Caenorhabditis elegans: one gene and its partners. The protein of the gene in region 1 purifies or fractionates together with the protein of each later gene. This does not show direct contact. Each region holds a gene or a part of one and is shown on either strand. Other genes may lie near its edges.

Region 1 (9,473 bases):
ACCTCCTGTGTGAGTTTTTCTGCGCGGTTTGGATAAAACCAAGGAGACAGAGTTTACATTCATTGAAGATTGAGTAGCGCCAGTGAAGGGATTGTTAGAAACCTCGCAAATGTTGCCAACATGGCCAAATATCATAGTAAAGCTCACAATTTTTTTCAAAAAAACTTTTTTTTTAATGGTGGTAACTACTCAGTTTTCGCCATTTTTTTTTTGGAAGTCTAAGATAAAAAAAATAGCCTACCTTAGGATCTCCGGATTCCAAAAATTAAATTGACTTTTTCCCAAAAGTTGGCGCTGAAAATTAGCTGTGTTAGGAGTATATCATAAACTTAAATTAGTTAAAAGTTTTTAGAACTGTAAAATTTTAATCAATAATAAATTGACTCCAGATTCTAAGAACATGTGCAAAGTGCAGAAACCATCCTAAAACTTATTGAAACATTTGTCATTTTTCTGAAATTTTTATACAGTAAAGAGCAATTTTCAATCATTCTTGTATACCTATCCAAAAACTGCAAACGTGAATTTTTAAAAATTAGTTTTATCACAGCAGAACGCACCATACACCCTGTTTTTTTGAAATTATTATTCAAGTTCACTATGATATTTGGTCATTTTGGAACCATCAAACTGGCGCAACTCCACTTTTAAAAGTCTCCCGTGTTAATAAGGAATGTGGGTGGGATGGTCTTTCTTACAAGCTGTTTGGGTTGAATTTCCATCAGAATTATGTTTGAAACCTAGAAAAACACCATCCGTGCCACTTTTCACAATCACACCACAACAGTCTATTGATAGAGAATCCGCGTCAAACGGCCAAACACAACACCAGGTTATTAATTTCTTTGACTCTGCGCGTTTACAGTCGCTACCGAACCCAATCTTCCAGCTATCGACCGCTTCTGTGAGTATAACCCTACTTATCCATATATCTCAACTGTTATATACTACATCACGTTTTTAACTTTTCTTTCTTCTATTCGAGTGTTACCTTTTTCTTCTTTTTAAAAGCATGGAGTTTGCGATTTTATGCGATTTTTTCTCAGTGTTGGTTTGCGATTTGCTTCCAAACATTCAACGTTTTGCATGAGTTTTACTTCTAAAGTGAAATGATTTTGATTCTTTGCACGTGACACTGTTTCAAAATTGTACGTATGATATTTTCAGATCTCGACGCAATGACAGTCACGAAGCAAGTGACGTCTAGCACACTACACATTATGTACCATTTCATAATTTATTAACTATTTTTTTCTCATCTGATTTATTCTCATTTTCAATTTGTCGGTACACAAGTAAGGTTACGTGACTTTCCTCTCCCGTTGTATAATGCTTCTCATGCTTTCTAGCATTGCAATTATGTGCATTTCAGAAGGTGTGTGACACCTATTGCCTCAACTTTGTATAAAGTTTTATAACTTCTGAATAAATGTATTGGACAGTATAACAACCTATAATTTTGGAAGTCCATCAAAACAGAAAATGTTGGTTACATATTGTTTTGAAAAGTATAGCAATTCGCCAAAACTTTGACTAGAAAAAAAATTGTTTCGGCAGTTTGAAATTACGACAAAAATGTAATTTTTTTTGTAAAATCGCAACTACATAGACGGATAAATTGTTCAAATTTGAAATTTTATTTTTTTTAAACCTCAAAAATTTTTTTGGATATCATTTAAAATATCTCATTAGTAAATTCGGTCTTTTGGATCAATTTGTTAACCACCCGATGTCTAAAAATTGTATAAAAACAAATGAATTTCCTTTTGACACCATAAGTGTGACTTTTAACAATTTCCCCAACTGCCGCAACTGCACTTCTAGAGATTCTTTATTTGTTTGTCTCAAACTTCTACAAATCATACTTATTTCTGGTAAAAAATTGTAAAATTTTCACATTTATTCAATACATCGACGGTTCGAAAAACTACACAAACTTGGAAAAAATTGACGGCGAGAGTTTGGAAAAAAAAACGGGGAGAAAATGTGCACACACCCATCTACTATAAACTACCAACAAGAAATTGGTTTCTAAAAGACACACACACAATACTACTAGCAGCAAAACGTTTTTAAAACATTTGGATCGTTTTAAATAGGGTGAGAAATAGAGAAAAATAAAATGAGTGTAGTGAAAACCAGTAGAACACAATTTTAAAAAACGGTGACGCAAGACAATCAATTGTTCTAATAAGTTGAGCGAATCGAGGAGACGGCGGCGTGAGCCACAAGAAGCTGGGCGAGAAGGCGAGACTCGAGGTAGGAGCGGGTGTCGACGATCCAGTCACGAGCAAGATGAGCTGGCTGACCCTTCAAAAGTTGAACAACGCGAATCGCCTTATCGAGATCACCATTGTGTACGTACTGCTTGGCGCGGGAAAGGATCTGAACAAAAATGTTTCACTAGTCTTACAAAACGTTTGAATTCTAATTTTAAAAAAACTTGATATTTTTTGTACGGACATCGTACGGGACTGGGAAGCTCTCGGAATAAAGAACAAGCATTTTAATAAAAATTATGAGATAAGAATTTTGATTTTTTTGATCGGAATAAGAATGTTGCCATTCGAATCAAATTTATTTTTCACAACGGGGTCATATTTATAGAGACCCGAGTTATGAAGACAAAAGCCCGATTTTTACAAACCTGACAGTTTTTAAACGTGGGTTCATTACGTTACTTAAAGCTGACATATTTTTAATGATATTTAACATGACTACTAATCAACCACGAAGTCATACGAGCGTATCTCACAATCTGGAGTATTCTTATAAAAGTACGGAATTTCTGCCGGATTCTAAAAAAAAAACAGTGGAAAACGCCAAAAGTGATCTGCTAATCTGCTGCCAAAAATCCAACCTCAAAATTTCTAAGAGTCAGGAGCAACGTGGATGGAAATATTTTTAAATTTTTTAAATGGAATCATGACCAGATTTTTATGGAATATGTGAGCTATACAATTTTATGTATCATGTTCAATCACCTAGGGGTTGCAGAGCAGAGTTGTTTACGTATCCGCATAATTATGACCCACTCTAATGTATTCTGTACTCAAATCTATCCTCACCTCATAGTTATCAGTGTTGTTCACATCAATAGCATCTAAATTTCCATACTGTTGTGGCATATCCACGAGGAACAGGGATTTGACGTACGACCAGAAATAGGCTCCTAAGGTTCCTCCGTTCTCATCGATAGAAGCAGTCTTGCGACCAATCTTGTACAGTTGCTCGAAGCGGTTTTTGAGATCCTGCTCAGTGTATGTGCCAACTGTGGTCGCTTGTTTTGGGAACGAGTCGATGATGGCGTTGACAAACTCGTCTTCTGGATTGACCTGAAAACGATAAATTCAGATTAAAATGAAAATGTAGAATAGTAACAAAATGTAAAAAAGTTGATTTCGTTGACAAACTCGCTAACCTCCTTGAGAAGATTCAAAGACTCGTTCAATGGAAGTCTTCTCTCATCAATGTTGTTTCCGGCCTTGTTACCATGTTTCAAAGTGTCAATCAAATTATGGCACGCAATCCAGAACTGCTTGGCGCGACGGTTTTCGTTGTCAAGAGCAACTCGGCTTCCGAGAGCCTCTTCGATTCCCTCCAGTCGGCTCAACGCAGCACCAACTTGCTTGCTGTGAAGATTGCGCTCTTGCAAAACTGCCTCCTCTACCTTCTGATTCTGTTCAATCTCGAAGAGTTGTCTCTGAGTCCGGATGACTTGCTCCAAGTGCTCAGAGTGAGCCGAGGCGGTGCGCTTCAATTGATTCTCCAGCTCACCTTCCCATGATGAACGGCTTTCCACAAGCTGAAATCAAAAAGTGGAATATTTGAGGAAAAACAACTTTTAACCCCAAATTTGATAACAAACTTACAGCTCGTTCGATTTCCAACTCATTCTGACGGCCAACACGGCTCATCTCAATGCTCAATTTTTCAGACGCGATCCGCTCATCGGCAAGTCGCTGCTCTTCAAGAGCCTTTGAGATGTGCAGTTCCTCGCGAACTTGCTGATCCGAAAGCTGACAACGAAGCTGGTCAACTTTGAGATGAGCGTGAGCGATCAATGCATTCAGTTCGTCTTCGTTGAGATTTTTGTCCTGAAAATGAATTTATGTGAACTTTCAAATTTGTATTTTAGGAAACAATGTCAAAAAGGCTTTTCGTTTAGTCAAAAATTTTAAACGTTTGATATTCGACTTTCAATTTGTGAAAAATAACAGAAGCCTTTCCTATCAAATCCTCAGCTGAAATATCTTCCTGAATCAGTCAGCATCTATAAAAAATTGTAAAAATTGTGATCTCAAATATATTTGTACTGTAACTATTTGTACTAAAGGTATGTTGTATTCTTCTGACTTTACCGAGAGTACATATCAACTATAAATATAATTTTTGCTTTTGACTACAAAAATTTCATAAATGCACCTTAGCAAAATCATAGGCTCATTTGAGCCTATTACAGAAATTCATTATTTTATAAAAAACCGAGGATGGACTCCATTCCTTCTATTTTTTTCGTCACTCACTTTAGCGTGAATATCAACATTTGGCAAGATGCTCTTCATCTCAAGAGCAAACTGTTGACGAGACTTCTCAATCAAATCCTTGTACTGATTGAGGACTGCAGATTCTTGACGAGACTGAAAACAATTTTGACAATTTTTGGTAAAAGTGCCAATGCATGTAATACCTTGTTGACCAATGCGTTGATCTCATCAAGCTGATGAGAAAGCTTATTAGCAGTCTCTTGAGCATTCAGAAGTAGCGGATTTGTGGCGGTAGTTGAATCTCGCTTTCCATCGTTCACAATCTGTAAATGTCCGAATTGAGAAAAATAAATAGTTATTATTAAAAATTTGCATTTAATCAAATATTAAACAAGCGTCTCTATTTTCAGTTGCATTTAATTCCTTTTCGTAAATGAGCTTGGAAGAGGTCCTTTTTACAAATTTTGAAAAAAAAACAGGGTCGAAGTATTGCAACAAGACAAAAATCATAGGACCTGTCACATAATAACTTGTGTAGCAGTTCAAAAACAGGCACTAGATAGCCGAACTTCCGCAGACCGGACGACAGATTTAGTCCGGTTTAGTCAAGTCCTAGTTTCCAATGGTCTAACGACTCTGGGTATTTTATTATGAAGGTGTAAGACCAAAATGTGCTCATTAAAAGAATTTCGCAATGAAGTTTCTCAAAAAATTTAAAAATTTTGTGTCATTGCGGTTCAAAATTTCAAACATAAATTTTTTTTTGGGTGTTAGGCTGTACCAAAAGATACCTTGCGAAGGTTATCAATGTAGTTTCTCCCGTCCACCTCTTGGCCACTGTCGACGCGTGCCTCAGCTTCGGCTCTTTGAAGAGCAGAAGTGACGTTTTCCCAGTTGGCGTGCTTAGCATCATCGACGGTTTGCTTGAGAATACTGGCATGCTCATTGATCGCATTGATGGTCTTCAGCTTGGCCTCAGTGGCTAAACGCACTTTTCCTTCAGCAGAGTGAATTGCGATTTTAAGCTTCTCCTCAAGTTCTGTAACTTTAAACTGTTATGAAAATTACGCTTAAAAAATCTTACGTTGGTTCTTGGCAAAGACGACATCTGGAGAAGGTTTTGGGATCATTGGGGTCACATCTTTGCGAACATCCACTGGGTCAACATGTGTGGGCTCTCTTGGAAGGACAGGCGGCAGTGGCGCGAGCTCCAATGGAGGAAGAACTTCCTTCTTTTTTGGGACAGCGTTCACTACAGCATCCTTGAGGTCACCGATCTGTTGTTTTGTCTTCCTGAAAAAGGATTATCGTTAAGACTGTCACTTTTTTAGTAAATAAAGCTTACTGCAAGCTAGATTCTCCCAAAACTGCGTCGAAAACTTGTTTCACTGGCGGAACAGTGGATTCGACTTTGTGACGGAACTCAGGGTCGACATACGCGTATCCGACAACACCACCAGCTCCAACAACGGTTGCTCCGACAAGAGCCAATCCTTTGCCACCTCCGGATTTTCTGAAATACGACGCGTTTTTATTATCGATTTTGGTGTATGTTTTACTTTGGTGGTTGAACTGGTGGCTTCGGTGGAGCAGCGGCTTGATTTGATTGTTGACGGGCTCTTTTCAACGTCTGGCTGACTGATCGCTTCTGAAATGAAAAAATTATACATTTAAACTAAAAATTGCATTTTTTTAATGAAAAAAAAACTCACCGATGCAATACGAAACATTTCCGCGACGAGCAGCGAATAATTTACCTAAAAAGTAATAAATTTTACAACGAAATTTTATATAAATCAAGAAAAAATCAAAATAATCAAGAGAGTGCAATCGAAAAAGAAATAAACATATTGTTTAGTGTTCGAAGATTAAGTTGCGCGTCATGCACGAGAAACGCGCCAGCAATCGATGTCTGTGTATCTTTTGTAAGTGCGTACGGGACGACGGGAAGAATGGCTGTGTGGGGAGGCATTGGAAGAGTGTGGCAGGGAAACAAAGGGAAATTGCCGATGCATTAAACGTTTGGGACATTTTGAACGCATAAACCCAAAATGAGCTCAAATAAACGAATTTTATAATGAAACTTCATTAAAAATTTTCAAAAAGTAGTTTTTGCCGGTTGAAAATTTCGAAAAAAAAACGTATTTCAAGTGAAATCTCCAATTTCGGCCATTTTTCCGTATCGCACACCTGGTCCATAAAAATTTTCCAACACTTTTAAAAGTGATTATTTAATCAAAACGCGGAATTTGGTTGTATTTTTAAGCTTAAAAAAACTTTAGTCCTAAGCCTAATATCGACAAAAAGGGTAACGTTAATTTTTCAGAATTGTAAACACTACAGAAGTACCGTAATTTTGTTAATTAAAATACATTTAAAACCGATAGGAAAAAATTATAGTATTAAAATAGCAGCTTTGGATTACTACGACTTGGAAAAGTGGCCAAATTTAAAGATATTTGAAGTGCCATAAACGTCCTAAAATTTTATGCAACATGAATTTTTACTGTTCTGTGTAACTTTTCAATTTAGAAATCAACATTTGTACGCAAAAAAGTGCAGCAAAAGTGCAGCATATAGTACCAGATATTTCCTTAAACTTCAGAAAAATGTTTGCTTTATTTGAAAACATCTTTAATATAATTCATAAAAATAAAAATAAAAAACTGCTTAGAAATTGTCTCTAATTTAATAAGAGCCGGAAAAATATCCCACAAATTATGGAAAATAATTTCCGGCAATTTTCAACTTGCATACTATTTTTGAGCATTTTTACAGTTGTTTCATATTAAATAAAACATTACTTTTAGATTAAAAAAAAAGTGTTTTTCTATATTTTATTTTTAACATTTAATAAAATATATCACTTTTTGCTCATTTTGGCTCATTTTGTAGATTTGCCGAAATTGCCGCGCACCCCTGATATGTACACTTTACCGGAAATTTTTAAAAATTGATAATGCACTAAAAAAATAGTAGAAACCATTAGAAACCAGTGTACAATTGATAAATGGTGTTTGTATCTGGGCATTTCATGTTGAAAAAAAATCGCCAAGGTCATTTGTTTGGTTAGGCCAGTGTACTTGAAATTGGTAGTGTTAGAACTTATATTTTATTTTTAAAATAATTGATTTTCAATTTCTTTTTTCATTTTTCTTCCAATTAACTCTTTCCATTCAAATAGAATTTTGAAATATACAAATTCTCAGTCACCATACACAACTTATTAAAGCGCAAGAATTTTAACATGCCCAGCAATGCTTAAGAGACGCAGAGTATATTCACCGTAGTTTGAAGCGAGGGTCTCGAAGCGATGTGGCAGTGAGAGTGGGGCTGCCTTTTCCTCGGGTTTGCACCCTCTCATCCGCCGCTATTGATTCTCTTTCTTTTCTCAATTTCCCTCGGGCTCGATGGGCTCGCTGCTTCTTTTCATTTTCGTGTTTTTTTTTCGTCAGCAGGCACATTGAATAAATATTCCGAGGCAGGGTCACAGAAAATTCTATGTCAACTTTTCTTTACTTTCTTATTTAACTCTTACTTTGTCCCATTTAGACGTTTCCAGAAAATGTTTTTCTCCAAGCTTGGATCATTATGCACTAGGATGGATTTTCGTGATGCCAATATTCCAGCCGCCTCTTTCCACACCGTTGCAGCTATTCTGGTAAGCTTTTGCACATGACTTCAATAATAGTATTCTCCAATATTTCAGGCAATTTTCGCAATGATGTCTACAGACTGGATTCTCATTGAAGATATGAGCACAAAAAACGGCACAACCGACATCGACGCTTTGCAGGTGGCTCAACTTTACATGAAGAACACAGAACCCTGTCATGCAATTGGTAAGTCTTGTTTAGCATTGCAAAAAAATAAATTGTGTAGAAGCTGAGAGCAGATGACTGTGCAAACTTTTCAAAAAACCATTTTCTTGTAATGACTTTTACATTAAAACTGAATCAAAAGCTGGTAATACAATATTGACAAAACGGAATGCGATGTTAAAATCAACACGATTAACAGTATCTTGAAAGTGAAATGATACTTCAAATTTAAACTTAATCAAAAACATTTGAAATTTTTTAAAGATGGGGTATCATAGTGAAAATGTTCTTTAGAAAAATCAAAATTGTATATGATTTTTTTTTGAAAATTGGAAAAATCTAAATTTTTGCCACTTTTTGGAAGTCGTCGATCAAAAAAAATTATTTATGGTCTATTTAAGTTTTAAATTTCAAAGGTGGAGTAGCACCAGTGTGGATTTTGTTTAAGTATACTTATGATGATTTAAAACGACCGATTAAATAATAAAACACTCCAAACAAAGTTAAGCACAGTGTTGGCAAATTGCTAAGCTTTTGGAAAAATATGAAATTTCAAAGAAATGCAGAGCAATGTCGCATGTTAGAATGTTTCAATAGATATAATTAATACAAAATAAAAGTGTGAAAGTCGTAGAAAATACATATTTTTGGTCAACTTCCAAAATTATGAGTGACGAAAATTTGTCAAAATTTTTTAAAAATCGTGTTACTTTTATTTGTGGACATTTTGACACCATACTGGCTCTACTCCACATTTAAATCAAAGATTGAATGAAACATTTGATTTGCAGGATGTCACAATTTTTGGGAAGCCGTCCGATTTGGAGGATATGTCGATGCTGCTGGAAACTCTCATGTGGCATTTCATACACCGACCCGAGTTCTCGTTGACTGCATAACACCATCAACAGCAAACTATTTCTACATTCTCATAGCTCTTTGTTTTGTAATTTCTGCAACATCATCTCTTTGTGCCACCATGAGCCTTCTCCCTCCACCAGCTCCATTTCTCGCGTGGCTCCGCAGTAATTCCATTTTGGAAATGTCCAATAGTATGGCGATGGGCTCTTTTCAAACAATTTCCATTAACTTTTTCAGTGATGCTTACTCTTTGCTGCTGCACAATTGCCATCATTGCGCAAACCGACATTTCCGACCAACGCGA
Region 2 (8,564 bases), about 13 Mb from region 1:
AAAACCTACCCCTCGGGAAATTTTCAAAGTTCTAAAAAACGGACGTCCGGACGCTCAAGATGCCGGCCCTAATTGAAACAACTTTTTCCAGGCACACGACGACAAAGTTGAACAAGGTGTTGCTCTAATGAGGAAAAGTTTAAAAAATGCTGACAATGAAATAACCGATCCGAAATTTTACTATCAACTCGGCCATGGTCTCACAACCCTCGGGCGTAAAAGTGAAGCTGACGCTGTTTACCAGAAGGCTGCACAAATGGGAGTTTTCATGACTGCCCAGCAGAGAAGCTTGTACAACATTGAAGGACTCACCGGCAGGGCTTGGTGGGCAATGGATCAGACTCCGTACTCCAAGTTTCTGAAGACAGTTGAACGGCAGTGGGCGACAATCAGACAGGAAGGCATGGAGGTTTTGAAGGATTGCAGCGATTGTTGGTTGGATCATAACCAACAGCTCGTCATCGATGGACAATGGAAGTTCTTCCCAATTATGTCCGAGCAAAATTTTATAAAATCTAGCTGCGAGAGAATGCCACAGACATGCTTAATCCTTCAAGAATTTGCAGCTTCCAGTAATGCCAGCAAGTCAGATGTATGTTCACCGAAAAAGATCATGATAACGTTTATTCATTTACAGATGCATTTGTCGGTGTTATCATCAGGTGCTTCTATTCTGCCACACTGTGGTCCTACGAACTATCACCTCCAAGCACATTTGGGTCTTGTCTCTCCATCTGAAGCAAGGATACGTGTTGGTAATGAGACAAAGGGATGGAGATCCGGGAAATTTATCATTTATGATGACAGTTTTGAACACGAGGTTGGTTCATTGGAATAGAGTTGGGGGCATCGTAAATGTATTGGCATACTTTTCAATGTCTAGCATTTCTTGAATCAATACTTTTTAGGGAGTCTAGGTACAAACTAGGGCTCCCAGCTGTGTGAGGCGCGAAATGCGGGCCTCACGCCGACGCCGCGCGCCGCTGTGTGTGTCAGTAAATCCAAAATGTGGTTATTTGGAAGCGGCCGACACGTTTGTGGTTCCGCGCCGCACTATACATGCGGCGTGAGCCCGGCGGAGGCACCGTTGCGGCGACCTCATGGAAGCCCTGGTACAAACTATTAATTTTGATATATCAATTGATAAGCACATAAAAACTCAATGCCCAAACAATTGGCAAATTTTCAATACTTTTCGAATTTCTAACTAGTAAGGCAACGATCTCAAAAGTTGAAAGCCGTCTTTAAATATTACCTTAAAGTTCATAGTTAAAATTTCAGCTCCAATTCGACGGTGCATCTTCATCATCCTTCCGACTTGTCCTCACCATTCAACTTTGGCACCCCGAAGTTCAACCTCATCAACGCGTGTTGTCATTCCTTTCATAATCTTGATCATAATGTTAGCTCTATTTTTATTGTTGTGAGTATTTTCTTAATAAAGCGTTTTTTCTTTGCGTCTTGGTTGCAGACTTATTTATTGAACATCCTGAACAACAGTGAACAGATACAAATCTACATTTTTGAATTTCAGAAAAAAACGAACTTTGAAAAGAAAAGAAAATAAACAGAACACATTTCGCGGTGCAAGGGATAAATAAAGAGTGAGTTGAGAATGTGCTATAGAGAATCCGTCTACGTGCCTAATGAGTTGAGTATTTATCGATCGACCTCTCCGAACACAATATCCATAGTTCCAATGACAGCGACAATGTCGGCGATAAGAGACATGTAGCACACATCGTGGATGGCCGCCAAGTGAGCAAACCCTGGAGCGCGGATGAAGCATCTGAAATGAGACAATTTAATGTTGAAAAAGCTTCTGTTTTGGACGCGTGTAAATCTGGTAAAACCGGACGAATTCGTCCGATTGCACAGCCCTAATTGTATGTATGTGAAATGACAAAAATTAATAATTGGAAATTTCCGTTCACTTACATTTTTCAGTAACCATTATTATATACAACTGTATTTTTAATTGTATAACGGTGTTATAATCTTTGCATCTTATTTTCAGACATTTAGTTCAAAATTTGAACAATATTTCTCTCTTCAAGTGCAAATCAATGCGGATCTGGGAGTCAGGTACACTGCCTGGCGATGCTCCCACTGGGTTATAATTTAAGCCACATCCTAGCCGGGGACTGTGGCCGATAATCCAGTGATGGATGAATGATGAGCTTCACTTCCCATTAGATGCTGGGCGAACCTAAGGCGTGAGGCGGAACTTGAACTTGTGACCTCCAGACTACTAGCGGCCACCACTACCAACTGAGCTATCCCGCCTAGTAACAATTCATAGAAATATCTTATTCAAATGTTAGGAATACGCTGTTCAAAGTTTTGTAATTGCATTCTAGATAACCAATAAAAAACTTGCAGTGTCTACTAGTATTGCACTGAAGCTTTGAACAAAGTATTTCATACACTTCCACTAAAATGACAATTTATTTAATACAGTGCAAAAAATGTGGTTAAATGTTGAAGCTGCACTTTTCCCATTTTATTTGAATAAAATTCCAAACTTTTTAATTGGTGAAAAATCTGTACCTTGGACTTTTGAGCTCTTGTTACTAGTGTATTTACCCACGATGTGGCTAAGAAGATTGTACAACGTGAGCTCTATAACTAACTGGTTTATTCCTTAGTTTAGTACTAATATAATAAACTTCTTGTCTTCTCCTCGTCGTTCCGCCTTCAGAACATAACAATTATCACTTTTAGGGCTGTTAAAAAGGACGAGTTAGGTTCTGCGCGTTTGGACATCCTCAAGTCTCACTGTTGAAATTGTGAAAAACACACACAGTGAGAATTGGGGACGTCCAAACGCGAAGGACGAGGACGCGTCCTGATCCTGCCGCCGAGGACGTCCTGCTGAAAAAGACATCCTCCCTAAAAGGCTAAATCATTTCCTATAGTCAAGTACTACAACTTTGCCAATCCAAAAATGTAATAGAGAAATTCCAATGGTTGTAATACTCGATTTTTTACAAACAATTAGAAGTCCCCTTACTTATAATAACTGAACAAAGGATTTAGCATTCAAAAGAATCGAACCCGCGAGATTGTGCACACTAACCAGCGACGCAACCACTTTGGCCACAGGGGTCGTTTACAGATCCGACCACTGTGGCATTCAAATCAGGGTGGAGGGTGGAGATGTCTGCGCGTGTGGTCCTAATTTGGTAATCACTTCATAATCAAGAATTAATAGTCAACCGGAGTCCCGCTGTCCCGTTTTTGTAAATTTAAAATTTTTTATATATAATATAAATTTTACGGGACATTGACACCCTTGGTTCAGACCACCGCATTCTTAACATTAAAAATGAAATAGTTACCTATATGGTTTTCCGGTTCCATCAGCAACAAGGTAAACTCCAAACTCTCCCTTTGGAGCCTCAATTGGGACATAAGTTGCTCCTGGTGGCACTTGGAATCCTTCGGTGAAGAACTTGAAATGATGAATAAGAGACTCCATGTTCTCCTTCATCTCGGCTCTCTTTGGTGGCACAACCTTGTGATCGTCGACCTTGATTTCTCCGGCTGGCATCTTGTTGAGGCACTGATGCACAATGTTCAACGACTGTCTCATCTCCTCAATACGGCACAAGTATCTGTCGTAGCAATCACCCTTGGTTCCGATTGGAACATCAAATTCCATATCAGCATAGGCATCGTATGGTTCGGTCTTTCTCACGTCTTGCTTGATTCCAGATCCACGGACCATGACTCCACTGAATCCCCAGTTGAGAGCATCAGCAGCTGACACAAGTCCGATGTCAATAGTTCTGGCCTTCCAGATTCGGTTTTCGGTGAGCATGTCTTCGAGCTCATCGATACGTTCTGGGAACTTGATGGCCCAGTCGTAGATGTCATCCATAAGACCAATTGGAAGATCCCAAGCGACACCTCCGGGGCGGACGTAGTTGGCATGCATTCTGGCACCAGATACTCGCTCGGAAAACTCAAAGAGCTTTTCACGTTCTGAAAATCAATGTTGGTTTTGTACTTATTTTGAAACAATAAACTTACCCTCGAACATCCAGAAAAACGGTGTCATAGCTCCAACGTCAAGGGCGTGAGTGGTGATACCCATGATGTGGTTCTGGATGCGAGTGAGCTCTCCCATGAGAGTTCTGATATATTTGGCTCTTGTTGGGATGTCAATACCGAGAAGCTTCTCAACAGCCAAAGACCAAGCCTGCTCATTGCACATCATGGAGACGTAATCGAGACGATCGAAGTATGGGAGAGCCTGCAAAGAAAACAGTTGGAAAAATTGATTGAATATTCGATTTGAGTGACAGAAAAAATGATTTGAAACGGATTTCATAGCTTTTGAAAACTAAAATTAGGCTAAACAAAAAATTATTATTTAGACACAATATTTGTCATTTTCAGTTCTAAACTTGGACCGAGTTGAAGATTTTACAAATTTTCAATTTATCATTTTCAATATCGTTTTAGAAACATACCTGAGTGTAGGTCTTGTGCTCAATGAGCTTTTCAGTGGCACGATGAAGGAGTCCAATATGTGGGATGGCCTTGATGATGACTTCTCCTTCCAGTTTCAACACGAGACGCAACACTCCGTGAGCGGCTGGATGCTGTGGTCCGAAGTTGAGAATCATGTTTTCCAGATTCTTCTCTCTGAAAAAAAAAACAAATTATTTTAATTTTCAAGTACTCGGTAAAATTTCTACCTCTGTTTTCCGCTGTAGTTATCACTCATAACTGGATCGGAATAGGCCAACTTTTCAAGCTTGTCAAGTCCGATCTTCTCGTCGAAATCCGAAACCCGCTCCGACATCCACAGCTTTCCGAGGGTACCTCCGGTCTGAAATATTGAAAATTGAGATGTCACTCGTAACCAACAAAAAAAATCAACCTTAAATTGACGCTCAAATTTAGCATCTGGATACCAGATTGTGTGGGAGTTTCGGGTTTGGGTGGCAGGAGTAGAAGACGTCGCCGCGACCGATGGAACGTTCGCTCGGAGACAAGTTCCGGCGATCTTTCTACCCAACATTGTTTCCTATAAAAATATTCGGTGAATAGTGAGCAATAAAAGTTGTGAAGTTAAAGCAACAAAGAGAAACGGAAAAATCGATAAAATCGCTGCCAAATTGCACATTGAACACAGAAAGATTGAACTTCAAAAACCCACCAATTCGCAACTTGATTTTCACAATTTTTTTCATGGAAACTAACAGTCAGTCGTATTTTTTCTTACACGATAAAGATAATATTAAAATTATTAAGAAAAAAGAAAGTAAATTCGCAAAAACAGTGTCGAAAATAGGTACCGAACGAAAATAAGACGACTGCTCGGTATTTAGCGCGTGGTGGAGTGTCGTTGTTTTCCTCGCGTAGCCTCACCTCTCTATTGATTTAGAAGATGTCTTGTTGCTTGGACAGTCGTTCGGAATTGTCATGCTCGGTGTTATTATTTATTTTTGTTTTCTAAGAAACTTTTTTTAAATTGAAAATTGTTTTATAATATAACGTTAATTTGGATTATTTTGTAAAAATTTTTAATAAACTCATTTTTCAATTTTTGATCAAATTGTAAATTTAACCTAATATTTTCGGTACGTGTGTTCCAACATTTTAAAAGTAAATTAGTAATTGTTTTTTTTCTCCACTTATCTAAAACGTGAGTAGTATTATCATGATTAGGTTTGGAAAAGATCGTTTCAAAAAAAAAACAAAATGAAGATCACGTTTAAAAGTTAAGAAATTAAATTTTCAAAATGTGGAGTTATAATACACAAGTTTCATATTTTTTTACACTTATTACCGAAATGACATCATTGTTTTTTTAAAGTACAGATTTTCGAATATACTATTAACTTATTAATTAAACTGATGATATGAAATACAACTTAACGTTTTTTTCTTTTTTGGTTTCAATATCATTTTTCGTTGTGGTCAATTGATACTAATGATGACTTTTTTTTAAATTTAACATGACTCTCATTTCAATTTTCTATATTTTTTTTCAGAATGGCGGATAGTGCAGGGCGTGATGACGACGGAATGAATTCGGATAGCAGTCAGCCATCACAGAACATCGAAAAAGAAGAGGGTATACTAGATGAGGAGTCGTCATCGTCTGAATCAGGAACGGGTACAGATACCGATAAGGATGATCTGGAAGAGAATAATAATCCGCGACCGGTAAGAATATTTCCAATGACTTTCTCAAACATTTAACATCACAATACCTGATTTTCCAAAAACCTCAAAAATAATTACAGATGCTTCCAAAACAAATGGAATCTCGCTGCAAACACGTCAAAGACATCAATCCATCAGACCTCAGCCAGCTTCTACAGAAGAAGTTAAAATGCATGACTTGCCATGATTCAGTCAGTTTCTCATGTGCTCATCAAGATTGTATTAATAGTTTGAAGTCAAGCTGTTGCAAAAATTCCGACCACCTTCTTCCTCATATGGCGGTACGTTTGTTCGCAAATTGACATCAAGTTTTGCTTACTTTTTTGAATTTTGATATAATTGCATTTTTACATAATATCCGTTAAATAGTAATCTACATATATTTATATAATTTGACAGACACATGCGATGAACTTTTTTCTAAACAGAAAACTGTGCAGAAGAAAAATAGGAACATAATCATTTTTATAAGTTAAGCATCATGTTTTAAGCTTGGTAGCAATTAGGTGTAGGGTTAAAAAATTTTTAATCTATCCGAAAATTGAAAAAAAAACACCAAATTGTTGTTAATTGATAAGTTAATGCTTCGATAAGCACAGATCAATCAACCTCAGCGCTCTCAAAATTATTCCAATTTTTTAAGGTTCACAATCATCCTCCAATATTATATCACGATCGGAAATCAATTCTATGTACACGTTGCATGGTCTACACTCCTGTCAAGCGGTTCCTCACACATGTAAGTAATCAAGTAGTAGAAAAAAAATGATATAGTATTGATGTGATAACGAAATTAGTAGGGGCACGCGTTTTTGTATCAATAATGTTATGTTTCAGACCAAGTTTTCAACGAGCGACAAAGTGGAGCAGGAAACAAGAAAAATGGAGCCTCTAGCTTTCAGAGGTTAGTGAAAACATTGTAAAATTTAATTTCTAAAAAGTTATAGGATTGCTCGGGTATCTCAATTTCGGGAACACTTGTTACATGAATGCGGTTCTACAACTTTTAGGACATTGCTCACCGTTCACACAGTATTTGATAGAGCTTGTAAGTATGAAGCCTAAATGTACAAAAACATATCCGGTTTATTTCAGATACCTCCAGGTGGCTGGTCAAACTGTTCACACGACATTCCAAAAACTGCAATTCAAATGGCACTTGATCTCCGAAATATGTATAGTGATTTTCCTCTACCTTACTTGAGTCCTTGGAAAATTATTACAGTGCGGTTTATATCGTTTTTATTCTTAATAAGTCCATTATTTTTTAAAGTGTGTTCGCAATGAGATGCCAGGATTTGAGTGTTTCCAGCAGCAAGATGCTAGTGAATTCATGCGAAACCTTCTTGATATTCTTGACAGAGATTTGAAAACATGCTCCGAGTATCACCGAACAAATACACTAATCGAAATGGGGAATCCTGAAATGGACTACGCAATAGCTATGAATGCTCCGCACACGAAAACTGCAATTTCAGCAATTTTCCAAGGAGTTTTAGAGAATCAAATTCAATGTCATTCATGCGGGTTTCGCTCACGGACCATTGAAAATTTTTTGGTGAGTAACTTCTCAAAAACCGCCTAAATTCAATTCCATCTTCAGGATCTTTCAATTCCAATAGTCGGAGAAAATGAGTTTGAAGAAATGTATGCATCAAAGAAACTCGATACACCAAAAGCACCATGCACCTCATCAAACATTGAAGACGGACAGGACCCCGGATTTCTTGTTCATCAGGGAGCGTTCAACAAGACTAGTCTAGAGTCGTGTCTTGACAGATTCTTTCAAAATTCCACGCTACAAGATGATAATCAATATTCCTGCAGTAAATGTGAAGTGTAAGTTTTTCTGGTGGAGTAGTGGCAGTGAAGATTTTGTCGAAATGTATTCACAATAGTTTCATATCACTAGAAAACTAGATAAATCACTAGAACATTCCGCAGATTTTTAATATTTTCTCAGTAAAAGACTTAGAAATATGCCAAAATATTGATATCCGTTGCCTTTTCATGAAGTGAAAAACACATTTTTACTATGATATTTTATCATTTTAGTACTAAAAAATTCACCTTAAACACCATCCCCACTGTTGTTACTCCACTTCAAGTTAGTTGTGTTACAAAAATATTCGAACAAATTTTCAGTCTTGTCGATGCCACCAAATCAACAAAAGCTCACCGGTTACCGGAAGTGATCATCATCCAGCTGAAACGCTTCCGCCACACAATGTTCGGATCTTGCAAAGTGGGAAAGGTGGTCGAGTTCCCGTTGCGGAGCCAAGATTTTGGTCGGTGGACGACAAGTGGCGAGCCAGCATTGTATGATTTGGTTGGATTTGTGGTCCATGAAGGAAGAAGCCTCGAGTTTGGGCATTATGTCT
Region 3 (6,446 bases), on another chromosome or scaffold:
TGTAGATTTTTCCCCATTTTTCCCTCCACATTTCTGTCCCGCTTCTGATTAAGATTAAAGTATTTTGATTTGATTTTTGAATTTTTAAGTTTTTTTTCGTTGGTTTTTATAGTCGGTTGAAGCTCCCGAATTTGCATTTTTCTTTTATTTTTTATTATAACTAAGGGTTTCGTTGAGAAACTCGGTTTTTTTTCAGAGATGATCGAAAAAAAAAATTGTTTTTTGAGGAAAAAAAAAATTTTTTCATTAAAAAAGGCAAAAAATTATCGAAATTTTGAAAATGCCTCGAAAAAAAAACGAATTTTTTTTCAAAAATAAAAAATAAAATTTCGGATTTTCTCGGAGCAAAGCTAATATTGATGAGAAAAAGCATAGGAAACCCTGCAATTTTTTTCAAAAAACAAAAAAAAACGAAAAATTACCAACATTTTGAGAGATTTCTCGAAAAATAGATTTGTTTTTTTGGAAATATCGAAAAAAAAATTAGTTTTTATATTTTCCCGAAAATAATTGGAAAATTATGTTGTTTATATTCATGAGAAAAATCTAACATAATTTTATTTTAAAAAAAAATGACCAAAACTTTGACATATTTCTCGAAAAATCAATTTCCGGAAATCGAAAATTTTTTAACTAACTAAAAATTCTCATAGAAAAAAAAACATCATCGATTTTTACCTGAAAATCTAAAAAAAAAAGATATATATCGAGTATTTTTAATGTTAAATACAGAAGGAATTGGCAAAAGATGGCCAAAAATTATTTTTCCGGCAAATCGGCAAATTGCCGGAATCGACAATTTCCGGCAAATTGTGGCCTTGCACATTTTTTTGGAACTTTTGAAGAATTTCAATTTAAATAGGCAAAGAAATTTTTAAAAAAGGCATCCAATGAATGTTCTTACATCTATTTTAAAAAATTAAAAATTCTATGAAAATATCTAACGAAAAATGGGAAAAAATTTTAAAAAGGCACAATTTGGAGTGTTTCCGTTTTAAAAAAATCGCTCTACAAATTTCCGTCATATCGATATCCGGCAAATAGGCAATTTGCCGAAAATGAAAAATTCCGGCAATTTCCGCACACGCCTGGGTCAATCGATATTTTTCTCACAAAATTCAAAAAGCTGACTCACCCGGCTCATCAGGAGTTTTCGAATTAATATAAATAACTGTGAGAAAGACGAGAAGCGCGACGACAGGAATAAAAACGTGAACAGCTGAAAATTCATGAAAATCGGTTGAAATTAATTTAATATATTTAACTCACATTCAACGAGATTATAGACGGCGTCCATGTTTGACAGAGCCCCAAGTTGCCTTCTTGCTCCGAGAGAGAAAGAGCACACACTACTGCGCTTGATATCGATTTTTGTGTGCTGCGAAAAGCGTTGAAGAAAACGGAAAAGGAGACCTCCGTTACGAAAAAGATGTGAAAAAGACGAGAGAGGGGGGGGGGGGAGAAGCTCGGATAATAAAATGAATAAACTGGGAGAAAGAGGAAAAGACTTTTGTGGATTTTCAACAATTTTTTAGTAGCAAAGATTCGGAAAATTAGCCGATTTTCCTGAAGAAAAGTTAGTATGAATAAAAAAAATAAATTGACGAAATTTTTTTGAACTTGGAATCCACTTTCAACAATTTTTGAATACAAAGATTTGGAAAATTTGGCGATTTTTTGCGGAAAAATTAGTAGATGGATGGAATTTTGCTGAAATTTTGCTGGGATCCACCGAAAATAGGAAAAATAGCTTAAATTGCGAATAGGTTTTGCAAAAAAAAAATTTTTGTTGAATTTTTGAAAAAAAAGCAATTTTCTAGAAGAATATTTTATTGGTTTTATCTAGTTTTTTGGGAATTTTTTTTTGAAATTTTTCCAAAATCTGGGATTTTTCACCATTTTTCCTTTTTTTTGCGTGATAGTTTGAGATTATTCATGATTTTTCTTCTCTCGAGGCATTTTTTCGAAATTTATTCAACAAAAATTACATTTCATGGCTTTTTTGATCTTGTAGCGTGCCTTTTTATCCAAACAGTATTTAATTTTAGGATTTTTTGGGTAATTCTGAAATTATTACGGGAACACAATTCTAAAAATGCGTATTGCACAACACATTTGACGCGCAAAATATCTCGTAGCGAAAACTACAGTAATTCTTTAAATAACTACTGTAGCGGTTGTGTCGATTTACGGGATCTCGATTTTTGAAATTAATTAATTTAACGATTGAATATTAAAATTAATTTTCTTTAAAAAAAATCGATATCCCGTAAATCGACGCTACCGTATTCATTTAAAGAATTACTGTAGTTTTCGCTACGAGATATTTTGCGGGTCACTCAGAATTTTGCGTTTCCGTAATATTAGTGTGTTTCTTTTTTCGATTTTCCGATACTTAGACAAATTATTTTTTTTTTTCGAAACATGTCTATAAATTTTAGCTATTTTTCTTCTTTTTTTTTGAGAAAAATGTTTTTTTTCCTATTTATGCATTTCCTCATCGACATAAAAAAATTAACACAGATTTTAAAATTTTAGTTTTTTTTTCTAAAACATTTTCTGATTATCTCTGAAAAAAAAACCGAAAAATCGATATTTTGCTTCTCAACTCATAATAAAATTCCAAAATTCCAGAACATCCGCAATGGCAACTGGTAACCGTAATCCGGAGAACTTCACATCATTGTCACCAATCGTAAAGGCTCCAATAACCGATACTCTTTCGGTTCCACTCTCCCAACAGGGACGTATCTGCGGATTCTTTGAATCTCAATTCTACCGTTGTATGGAGGCTTACGGAGCAAAGATGGGACGCAAGTATTGTGATCTCGAGCATCGTGACTTCCAGGAGTGTGTCACTGGGGATAAACAGAAGAAGGTTCGATATCCGGAACAGAACTGTCGCGAAAAAAAATTGGACTAAAAAACAAAAAATTAGTGAAAACCAAATAAATTTGATCCCTTGAATTTATTCTTTTAACGGAGGACTAACGGTTCGGACGATTTTGAACGTATAGACCCAAAATGTTCTCAAATGAACGAATTTCGTAATGAAACTTTTCAAAAAATTTCCAAAAATTTTTTATGGCGGTTCAAACTTTTGAAAAAATTACACTGATTTTGGCTAAAATCTCGAATTTTGCCCATTTTTCCGTGTCACATCTGTTCGAAGTTGGCTTTTTTTGGAATTATCGTCCTTTATTACATATATTGGTAATTAATCTCATTTAATTTCGTGGATCAAATAACATTTAAAGCCGATAGGTAACCAATTTCGATGATTTTTGGTTACCTATCGGCTTTAAATGTACTTTAATCGACGAAATTAAATGAGATAAACTACCAATATATGTAATAAAGGACGATAATTCCAAAAAAGCCAACTACGGACAGATGTGACACGGAAAAATGGGAAAAATTCGTGATTTTAGCTAAAATCAGTGTTATTTTTCAAAATTTTGAACCGCCATAAAAATTTTTTAAAAATTTTTGAGCAGTTTCATTACGAAATTCGTTCATTTTCCGGAAATTTCTAAAATTCTAATTTAAAAAAATGTTCCTTCATTTTTCTGATTTTTGAGTTTATTTTCTCGTCTTCTTTCATGCAATTTTTCCGATTTTTCTCCTATTTCTAAAGAAAAGAAAAATCGAAAACTCTGAAAAATTTGGTTTTTTAACTTTTGGATTTTTTTTGTTGATAAAATCGAATATTTTTGGTTTTCGATTTTCCTAAAAATTTAAATGTGTGTTCTCCAGTTTTTTTGCCCTGAAAGAGAAAAAACTACCATAATCTTTTTTCTGCGCATCGAGACCCATCTGAATAAACCCGTGCGCCTTTAAAAAACATCACATGAAATTCCAAAATAATCGAAAAACAATTTTCCAGAGAGCTGACGCCATCCGTGAACAACGCTGCAAGCTGTTCCTCGACGGAAAAATCGCGAAGCCATACGTCGACAATCATCCAGAACCGGGACAATTCAAGACTGATCACTTCCAGTGGAATCGTATCAACTAGATACTTGAAGTGCCTTTAGTTTCGAGAGAAATCGCCTTATTTTTTGTAGTTTTCATTTCTTTTTTCTTTTTAATCTTTTCTAAGTACATAAAAAGATTTATAATAAAAAAAAAAAGAAGCAAGTTAAGAGATCAATAATAGTCCGGGTAACACATCCAATGACACAATAATATCTATATCTATAATGAAATATGAAATTAAAAATGGAAGAAAAAGTCGCCGCCACCACGGCCGCCACCACCACCACCGCCGAATGGATTAAATCCGTGGAAATTATGAAATCCGTGTGATCCTCCACCTCCACCTCCACCCCTCCCTGCTTCCGAATCCAGTGGATCTTGTCCATTATCGAAAGCTCGCCGCTTCTCCTCATTGCTCAAAACTTCCTTCGCCGCGGCAATATCGATAAACTTCTTCTCAGCTTTCTTCTTCTCCTTCTCATCCTGAAAGTTGTCCGGATGCCATTTTTGAGCCATTTTTCGATAGGCTTTTGTGATTTCTCGTTTATTGGCGTTCCGGCGGACTCCGAGAATTTTGTAGTAATCTCGTTTTCCGACGAGTTCCTTTGCACGCTTTGCTTGATCTTTTCCAGTTCGGACGGCGTCGTTTGATGAATCCCATTCTTCGGCTTTTTCGTAGTCAGCGATTGCTGGAAATTAGATTTTGATGATCGATAAATCCGTGAAAAGCAGCGCCGCACAGAAAAAGAGGCGGGGCTTATTTTTGCAATCCTGCGGCACGGTTTTTCCTCCTTTTTATTGATTTTTTTCAATGAGAAATTCTGAATTTCGTCAAAATTTTCTGTTAAAACGAAGAAATAGCGTGCGGAGGCTTGCGAAAACCTGCGCCGCACAGAAAAATAGGCGGAGCTTATTTTTGCAACCGTGTCGCACCGGTTTTTCCTCCTTTTTATTGATTTTTTTCAATGAGAAATTCTGAATTTCGTCAAAATTTTCTGTTAAAACGAAGAAATAGCGTGCGGAGGCTTGCGAAAACCTGCGCCGCACAGAAAAAGAGGCGGAGCTTATTTTTGCAACCGTGTCGCACCGGTTTTTCCTCCTTTTTATTGATTTTTTTCAATGGAAAATTCTGAATTTCGTCAAAATTTTCTGTTAAAACGAGGAAATAACGCGCGGAGGCTTGCGAAAACCTGCGCCGCACAGAAAAAGAGGCGGGGCTTATTTTTGCAATCCTGCGGCACGGTTTTTCCTCCTTTTTATTGATTTTTTTCAATGAAAAATTCTGAATTTCGTCAAAATTTTCTGTTAAAACGAGGAAATAACGCGCGGAGGCTTGCGAAAACCTGCGCCGCACAGAAAAAGGGGCGGGGCTTATTTTTGCAACCCCGCGGCACGGTTTTTCCTCCTTTTATTGATTTTCCGAATGAAAAATCCGATTTTCATTGAATTTCGTTGAAAATTTCTGTTGAAAATGAGGAAAAAACGTGCGGCGGCTTGCGAAAACCTGCCCCGCACAGAAGGTTGCAAAATTACGCCCCGCCCATTTTTCTGCGCGGCGCAGATTTTTTTCTCATGTTCAGCAGAAAAATTCGAACTAATTAAAATCGGATTTTTTTTGGAAAAAAAAAATTTTAAAAAAGCATTTCCAGTAAAAATCCATTTTTATTTGAATTCTGTTCGAAATTTCCTGTTAAAAACGAGGAAAAAATAAATAAAAGCGTGCGGCGGCTTGCAAAATCGATGTTCAATCGCTCCGCCCCCCACGACTGGGTCTCGTTAGGTATTTCGCGCCCTTTTTAAAAATGGTTTCCGTTGTTTTAATAATTTTTATGACGAAATTTATCCAATTTTTAGACATAAAACTCATTAAAAACACCCTAAAATTGTTAGAATTCATGAATTTCCCACCAAATTCCTAACGAGACCCAACGTTCTGGGGCGGAGCCTTTTAAATTGGCCGTGGAGCGCGCTTGCAGAGTAACTTCTAAAACGGACCCATATCATACTCCTCGTCTGCCATATAAGCTTCAGCTCTCTGAATCAACGTTTCCACATCAGAATCATCAAATTCCAGTACTCGAGTACACTGTTGAATGGCTTCTCCTAGATTTCCGTCTTCTCGATTACATTGACACATCAATCGGAAAATGTTCATCCGAATCGGAATTTCTTCGTTCTTTTCCAGAAGTTTTTCACCAGTTTCCAGGCATTTTGTCCATTCCTGTTGTTCGATTGATGCCTTCATAGAATCTAGGGATTTTACGATTTTCTTCAGTGATTTGTAGGAGGTGTAGCATTTTTTGTGATCCGGATTAAGCTTCAGACATTCGCGGATTGAACTGAAAAATTTGAATTTAGCTCAATTTACGTAAATTTGCGCGTTTTTCTCCTTCGAAAAGTGTTAAAATTGCAAAAAACGCAAAATTTCGACTATTTGAACGGATAAATCAAGAAATGTAGTATTTTTC
Region 4 (6,296 bases), on another chromosome or scaffold:
CTGAATGCAGGTGTTGTCTACATATTATTTCTCAAATCAAAATACTCTGTCATTTCTTACGAGCTTAACCAATTCACCTTTTGTATGGCAGCAGCAGGCGTCATACATTTCCATCTCAATTGACCTATTCTCGAGTCTCGGCTGTCCATGTAATTATCCATTTTCACCGTGAACCCTTCTGTCCATCGTATTTTTTTCCCATCGCTCCTCTCTTTCTCTTCATCTCCACAGTTTGACCTTTACACAGAAACTCTTTTTCCCGAATAATATGTAGTTCTTCTCGTAGTTTTCGGAAGAAGTACCGCCCGCCGCAAGGATTTCTCTTCGTTCCGTCCATCTTAAAAACACGAGCTTAATTGAGAAGCGATCATGTCTTCTTGTCCCGCCCGGGAACGTCATCATGCGTCCCGCCCGTATTCTGGTCGTACTAGTTACCACCTATGCTCCTCCCACATTTGTTTGGTTCCCCAGATGAAGTAGAAGAAGAGCATTTAATTTAGTTTTGAACGTGTGTCGTTACAACTACTTATTCTTGTACTTCCTCAAGATTTTTTTATTATTACAGACAGACACAATGCTTCTGAGGTTAGGATTTCTTTTGGTATGCTCAATGCTAGAGAAAGTGATAGGACAAACGAAAGTGGTCAACTATATTGATAACTCTATAATAGGTAAGTTCAATTTTCATTTTACTGAAATTTTTAAAGTTTTTTAAAATTGAACAGTTTATTCTAACTTGTGATTAATCTACTATTATCCAGAGGCAGAAAACTGCAGTTCACCAGATGAATTTTGTTTTGAATTCTAGAATATATAATATGTGATATTGATCTCTGATCACGGTTTTTGACTCGAAGCTTGCAAAATTATCACTTAAAAGACACTATGACCAGAGTAAATTTTATTAGCCGTTCACAAAAAAAATGGTCTCGGCACGACCGAAACGTCGAAGCTACAGTACCCGCAGTTTCCCAATTCATGTTGCAAACTTTAAACTTTTGGAAAAAATACGTAAAATATTTGGAAATAATGAGTAAACATTGTGGAAAATTGCTGCGGATAGATTCAAAGTTCCGATCGGTTCAAGACCGGGTACCGTATATTTCAAAAAATTCAATTTACAGCAAAACTAATCTGACATATGCAGACAAATTCTCAAAAAGCCGTATGAAATTCGTTAAAAATTTTTTTTGGTCTTACACATTTTAGAAAACAAAAGTTGTAACTTGCCTAGACCGATCTTACACCGGTTTTGTTGTTAAGAAAACATTAATCATTTTCTGCATCTTCAAAACGTGTATGCTACAGTAATATATCCTTTTTAAGCAAAAAATCCACAGGCAGATCAAATAGTTGCGACTACTGACCCCATTCCCTACACTTCGGCCTAAGTAGCGATAATTATATAGAGAGAAAGAGTTCAATGTTCTGAATACAAAAAAAATTATAAAGCGTGCGATAATCCATGTCTACAAGTTTGCAAGTCTCAAAGCAATTACAAGATAAATCCACTAAATCTAACCGCAAAAAAACGACCTTCAAGAACAACAAAAATGAGAATAATGAGGTGCGGAAGTGGTCGTGTAAAGCGTATTAAACAGAGCTCCCCTCTCATTTATTTCTACAGGTACACCCAAGGTAATATGCGCGGAAAATGATCTGGCACTCGACATTGTCACCTCCAAACCATTTCGTGGAAATATTTTTGTAAAGGGACGAGCGAAAGACAAGTCATGTCGACAAAGTTATGCGAACAATGGAACAAACTCATACTCATTGCCGCTTGGAAAATGTGGAATGCAACGGTTACGATCGGTAAATGGACCGAAAACGACAATTTTGTGAGATGTTTTTTTTTATTCAGGCAAATCCTCGAGGCGTCAATTTTATGGTCACAGTCATTGTATCATTCCATCCAGCTGGATTCATCACAAAAAATGATAGGGCATTCCATGTTAAATGTTTCTATATGGAACCAGATGAGATTGTTACTCAGAATATTGATGTTAGGTAGGTAATCGTTTATTTTAATATGCCTCATTTCAACTATTGCGTTCAATAATTATTTTTCAGTTTTTCATTTTGAGTGCAACACTGATAGGAACTGCAAGTTTAATTTTAAATCAGTAATATGTATTAAGAAAAAGATACTGAAGTTTTAACATTTTATTTCAATAATTTTACATTGAGATTCTATACTTTTCAGTGTTTAGTATTTGAGGGTGAAAAATCTTTGAACTCACCAGATAAGATTATCGGAAACTCTTAAATTTTTTTTTCAAGTCTATGTTCTTGCAAATTGCCAAATTGAACTTTTTGCGTATTTCGGAGCATTGATGATATTTGAATTTTCAAACACAAATAATTAAAAAAATAATCAAAAAAATTAATTTTCAGTATGATCCCAACGACTGAACTATCTGACAGTATGGTAATGCCAAAATGCGAGTATTCAGTTCGTCGTGATGGTCCAAATGGTCCAACTTTAACATATGCCAATGTCGGAGATATTGTATTTCATGTATGGGAATGTACACCGGCTGATATGGGAATGCTTGTCAAAAAGTGTTTTGTAACAGATGGAGACGGAGAAGATCATGCTGTTGTTGACTTTGATGGCTGTGCAACTGATCCATTCTTGCTCAGTGAGCTGTCTTACGATGCTTCACTTATGCGAGCTCATGCATCAAGTCAAGTTTTCAAATATGCAGACTCAAATCAATTATATTTCACTTGTCAGATAAGATTGTGTCAGAAACAAATGGGAATGTGCCAGGAAGTTACGGTAATAGAGTTCGAAGATTGTTGAAGCAAATACTTATTTTTGATTTTCAGCCACCAAACTGTGGAGTCAAGAAATTGCTGAGTGAAGCAAGTGGTGATGGAAATCGAACAAAAAGAGAAGCTGATCGGTCTGATTATGAGGTAATCATAGATTGTTTCCGGATTATATATTTTTTTAATCCTCCTAACATGAAAACAATAAAATATTTAGATCGACGTAGCAACATCAGAACTTCTTGTACTTGATCCAGCAGATCGTGGGCTCCTTGCTCCTTCTCCATTCTGTGTTCCACGACTACTTCTTCCAGTTCTTCCCCTTATTCTTATCACAATTGTATCATTAACAGTTGTCTCCACAGCACTAGTGATTCGAAGACAAAATCACAAAAAAGAGCTCGATATAATGCAGTCAGGCAGATATTATTGATTTTCACATTATTATATTATTTTATAAATTACACGTCCCGATTGTACGGTTTCAGCTCCCATTTTTCTCTTAAAAATTCCCTTGAACTCTCTCGAAAGTCAGGCACAAATTTCTCATTCTTTTTCTCTGTGATGTCTGTTCCACACATATTTTTACGGAATCTAATTCATCAGGCATCAATGTTATTTTATATAAATTTACGAGTGTTTACATTAATAAAATCTGAATTTTATTTGACGAGGATAACGACACAGCTAAAAAAAAACAAAAATCGAGAAAAAGTTGCTTACATTCGGATCTAAAAGTAAATTTAAGAAAACAGATAGATCGAGACGATTAGAAGTCGATTCCGATGGTTGGAGCAAAGAGACCGGATCCTCCGGTTTGTAGAGTTCTTCCTTGTTGACGATCCCACCAAAGAAGCTTTCCATCCAAACATGCTTCATTCGACTTGTCCATTGGGACAAACATAAGACGAGTGTAAATGTAGAAGAGAGCGAAAACGGTTCCGACGTACAGGAATACGGTGCGTGGTGTGAAACGGAAGAACTCGGCTTGAGTCATATCAGCAGAATACCAACGGAACATTGCTGGATCCATGGTGACTCCCTCCTTGTACTTGAAGCTATGAGGATCGTATTCACGACGGAGATATTCCTTCTTCAAAATCTCCTTGACACGATATCTGAAAGTAATTTTTTAAAAATAAAATGTAGTTTTTTTATCATAAAGTTGGATATTAAAAACTGAATTTATGTTAATTCAGTGTTTAATATCCAATTTTATCGCAACAGTTTTTTTAAAGCAATTTTTGATTTGATACTCTGTAAATTATATCAAGAAACTGTTTTTTTTTGTCTCTATTGCTAATAAATCACTTGAAATAAGTGTTCATCAACGCAAATGTTATCATATATTGATTTTTCAATAGAATTAAATAATTTTAAATTGAGAATATAATTAAAACTATGTTTCTCACTGTTTTTAGAATTTTTTTAAAAACTTTTAAGCAAAAAGCGTTTTTCGTATTACCTCCACAAAACTGCTTTCTTCTCCTCGTCGCTCAGATTGTATTCATGTCCTGGCAGAAATTCGGTCTTTCCTATACAGAACAATTATTATTTTACAAGTTAACAGTAAATTATGAAAAATAAATCGATAAAATAAAAGTTTTACCGTGAGTCTCAAAATATCCAAGCACTGGATCCTGCCACAGTTTCGGAGATTTAATATTTTGGTTGGCAGCTGGTCGAAGAAGTCTTAATGCCAACTTCATTTTGGTTCAACCTGGAATTAAAATATTAATAAACAAAATCGGAAAACAAGACGGAAATTAAGAAAAATAAAATAAAAAGTTCTGAACAACTGGTTCAAACGACACTCCGATATTTCGCAACAGCGCCTTGTTTATCGTAAATCTACATCACATTTCAAAGCGAAAGGAATTTTCCTCAATTCAATTTTCTTCAATTCTTTCCTAAATCGAGGCCATAATTATTTTTTTTCGCACATTAAACTTAACTTAAAACTCAAATTTTAGCCATGGAAACCGACGGCGATCCCACAAATGAAATTCCCGGTAGCTCTATGGCTTTTGAAGTCGCAAACCATACTGTAACCGAAGAACCATCACCACTGGACAGAGTCAGTTTTCTAATAAAATAAACTATTTAAAAATGTAAAATTTTGTAGATTCTCGCAGAAGGTCGCAGCTTCAATGGTGGCAATTGGTCCAGTGACGACTTGAGAAGTTTATTGGATGGAGTGATGAAGTATGGTACCAAAATTGAAGCCATAAACTATATTCACCGAAACATTGTAAAAAAACGATCTATCGAAGAGATAAAGTAAGTTTTTAAAATATATGTTCAACATTTAATCATTATTCTTTTTCAGGGCGAAAATTGACGAGATTCGAGAGATTATCAAGGAACACAAAGAGATTATTCTCCCTGAGTGTTACAAAAATAAATGGATCGAAGCAGGACATCATAATATCACTCCTCCACCATTTTGCCAAGTGGATCCAAATGACGACTGGAGCAGTATCATGGGAAAAATAGTCGATCATCATCATGGATCAATCAACAAGACCCTACCTTCTCTTAGAGATACTTATGAGGTTTTATATTTTATTAGTCAGCAATTGAAAAATGCTCAAATTTTCAGACACTCTTCGAGAATCTCGCTCTAGAATCTAAAACTCACGAAAATGCGGTGGTGACCAAACTTCTCACCGCAAAAGCTACAAGAACTGACTCTCAAAATATAAGATGGCCAGTCATTTACAGATTCATGAAAGCATGTGCCACATTGGAAGAGCAAATGCCAGCGCTCAATGAACTTGGTCAGTAAACCCAGAATAATTCTAACTCTGAGGGAACTTAACCAGCGCTACAGTTTTATTTTCAGAAGCGGCAGTTGTCTCCAAAGTACTAGACACTATCGAAACCGAAGCTACGACAACTCCAGATACTGAGAAATCTATTCTTGCCGGTATTTTCAGTGAATGTCAACAAGGCAATTACCGCTTCTGTGAGCAAGACTATCCTCCGAACGTTATGGCGGCAGTTCAACTGTTCGTGGATCCACTCCGTACCCGTTTTCATGCGATCCCTGAAGTTGCATCTGAAGTCGAATTAATCAACTTTACGAAGGACAACCAGCCATCTACATCGTCCAATTGAAATTTTTATTAATTTTTTGTTATATCCTGTCATATCATCCGGTCGTTTCACTGGTATTTAATACATTGTTATTAAGTTTATTGATTTCAAGTCTAACAAAGACAAAAATGGTAGAAACCCGCTTCTTGACAAGTTCGTCGTCGTCCAAAGACACGTGTTGATTTGTTTGTTATAGCTGTCTGAATCGAGGAGATCTACTGTCTGCTGATGTTCCGTTTGTAGTTGGTTCAGTCGGTTGAAAGTTCTTGGTTTCCTCAACTACCTGATCGAATATTACTTCAATTCCAAGCCATGTCTCTTTTCCAATTGGAATAAGCCAATGTGGTTTGACTTGGAATGCGAACCAAGCTGAAATTGAATGTTATTCTAGTTTTCATGGAAGATCTAAACGAATTCTT

Evidence for each region.
Region 2: the proteins of immt-1 (region 1) and gas-1 fractionate together in Caenorhabditis elegans (co-fractionation; one large-scale study listed by BioGRID). This does not show direct contact.
Region 3: the proteins of immt-1 (region 1) and nduf-5 fractionate together in Caenorhabditis elegans (co-fractionation; one large-scale study listed by BioGRID). This does not show direct contact.
Region 4: the proteins of immt-1 (region 1) and nuo-6 fractionate together in Caenorhabditis elegans (co-fractionation; one large-scale study listed by BioGRID). This does not show direct contact.

What each region holds. Positions count from the first base shown.
Region 1 is NC_003284.9:2,680,941-2,690,413, forward strand, and holds immt-1 (MICOS complex subunit MIC60-1), read right to left. Parts: upstream 6,245-9,473; 5' UTR 6,218-6,244; coding exon 6,200-6,217; exon of another isoform or gene 6,136-6,199; coding exon 6,047-6,135; intron 6,001-6,046; coding exon 5,833-6,000; intron 5,781-5,832; coding exon 5,572-5,780; intron 5,527-5,571; coding exon 5,279-5,526; intron 4,811-5,278; coding exon 4,691-4,810; intron 4,641-4,690; coding exon 4,527-4,640; intron 4,098-4,526; coding exon 3,873-4,097; intron 3,806-3,872; coding exon 3,422-3,805; intron 3,336-3,421; coding exon 3,069-3,335; intron 2,386-3,068; coding exon 2,188-2,385; 3' UTR 1,814-2,187; downstream 1-1,813. Other genes in the region: ser-7 (G-protein coupled receptors family 1 profile domain-containing protein), read left to right, coding at 1-9, 866-904, 1,168-1,207; T14G11.1 (Membrane-associated protein), read left to right, coding at 8,053-8,148, 8,197-8,329, 9,100-9,360, 9,407-9,473.
Region 2 is NC_003284.9:15,585,360-15,593,923, forward strand, and holds gas-1 (putative NADH dehydrogenase [ubiquinone] iron-sulfur protein 2, mitochondrial), read right to left. Parts: upstream 5,039-8,564; 5' UTR 5,033-5,038; coding exon 4,892-5,032; intron 4,841-4,891; coding exon 4,707-4,840; intron 4,654-4,706; coding exon 4,479-4,653; intron 4,259-4,478; coding exon 4,036-4,258; intron 3,988-4,035; coding exon 3,342-3,987; intron 3,012-3,341; exon of another isoform or gene 2,952-3,011; intron 1,790-2,951; coding exon 1,660-1,789; 3' UTR 1,427-1,659; downstream 1-1,426. Other genes in the region: K09A9.6 (Aspartyl/asparaginy/proline hydroxylase domain-containing protein), read left to right, coding at 92-592, 638-820, 1,282-1,389; usp-33 (Ubiquitin carboxyl-terminal hydrolase), read left to right, coding at 6,010-6,183, 6,264-6,464, 6,827-6,922, 7,021-7,087, 7,131-7,231, 7,279-7,407, 7,457-7,741, 7,787-8,022 and 1 more.
Region 3 is NC_003279.8:2,999,036-3,005,481, reverse strand, and holds nduf-5 (NADH dehydrogenase [ubiquinone] iron-sulfur protein 5), read left to right. Parts: upstream 1-2,634; 5' UTR 2,635-2,644; coding exon 2,645-2,878; intron 2,879-3,886; coding exon 3,887-4,018; 3' UTR 4,019-4,122; downstream 4,123-6,446. Other genes in the region: Y54E10BL.3 (CcoQ/FixQ family Cbb3-type cytochrome c oxidase assembly chaperone), read right to left, coding at 1,136-1,219, 1,270-1,297; dnj-28 (J domain-containing protein), read right to left, coding at 4,216-4,667, 5,974-6,317.
Region 4 is NC_003279.8:7,064,689-7,070,984, forward strand, and holds nuo-6 (NADH dehydrogenase [ubiquinone] 1 beta subcomplex subunit 4), read right to left. Parts: upstream 4,499-6,296; 5' UTR 4,488-4,498; coding exon 4,388-4,487; intron 4,314-4,387; coding exon 4,244-4,313; intron 3,897-4,243; coding exon 3,548-3,896; 3' UTR 3,428-3,547; downstream 1-3,427. Other genes in the region: cutl-6 (ZP domain-containing protein), read left to right, coding at 575-671, 1,628-1,815, 1,865-2,010, 2,398-2,785, 2,836-2,925, 2,996-3,211; tofu-5 (Twenty One u-rna (21U-RNA) biogenesis Fouled Up), read left to right, coding at 4,754-4,855, 4,904-5,058, 5,108-5,333, 5,381-5,558, 5,624-5,898; W01A8.6 (Peptidase M14 domain-containing protein), read right to left, coding at 6,068-6,246.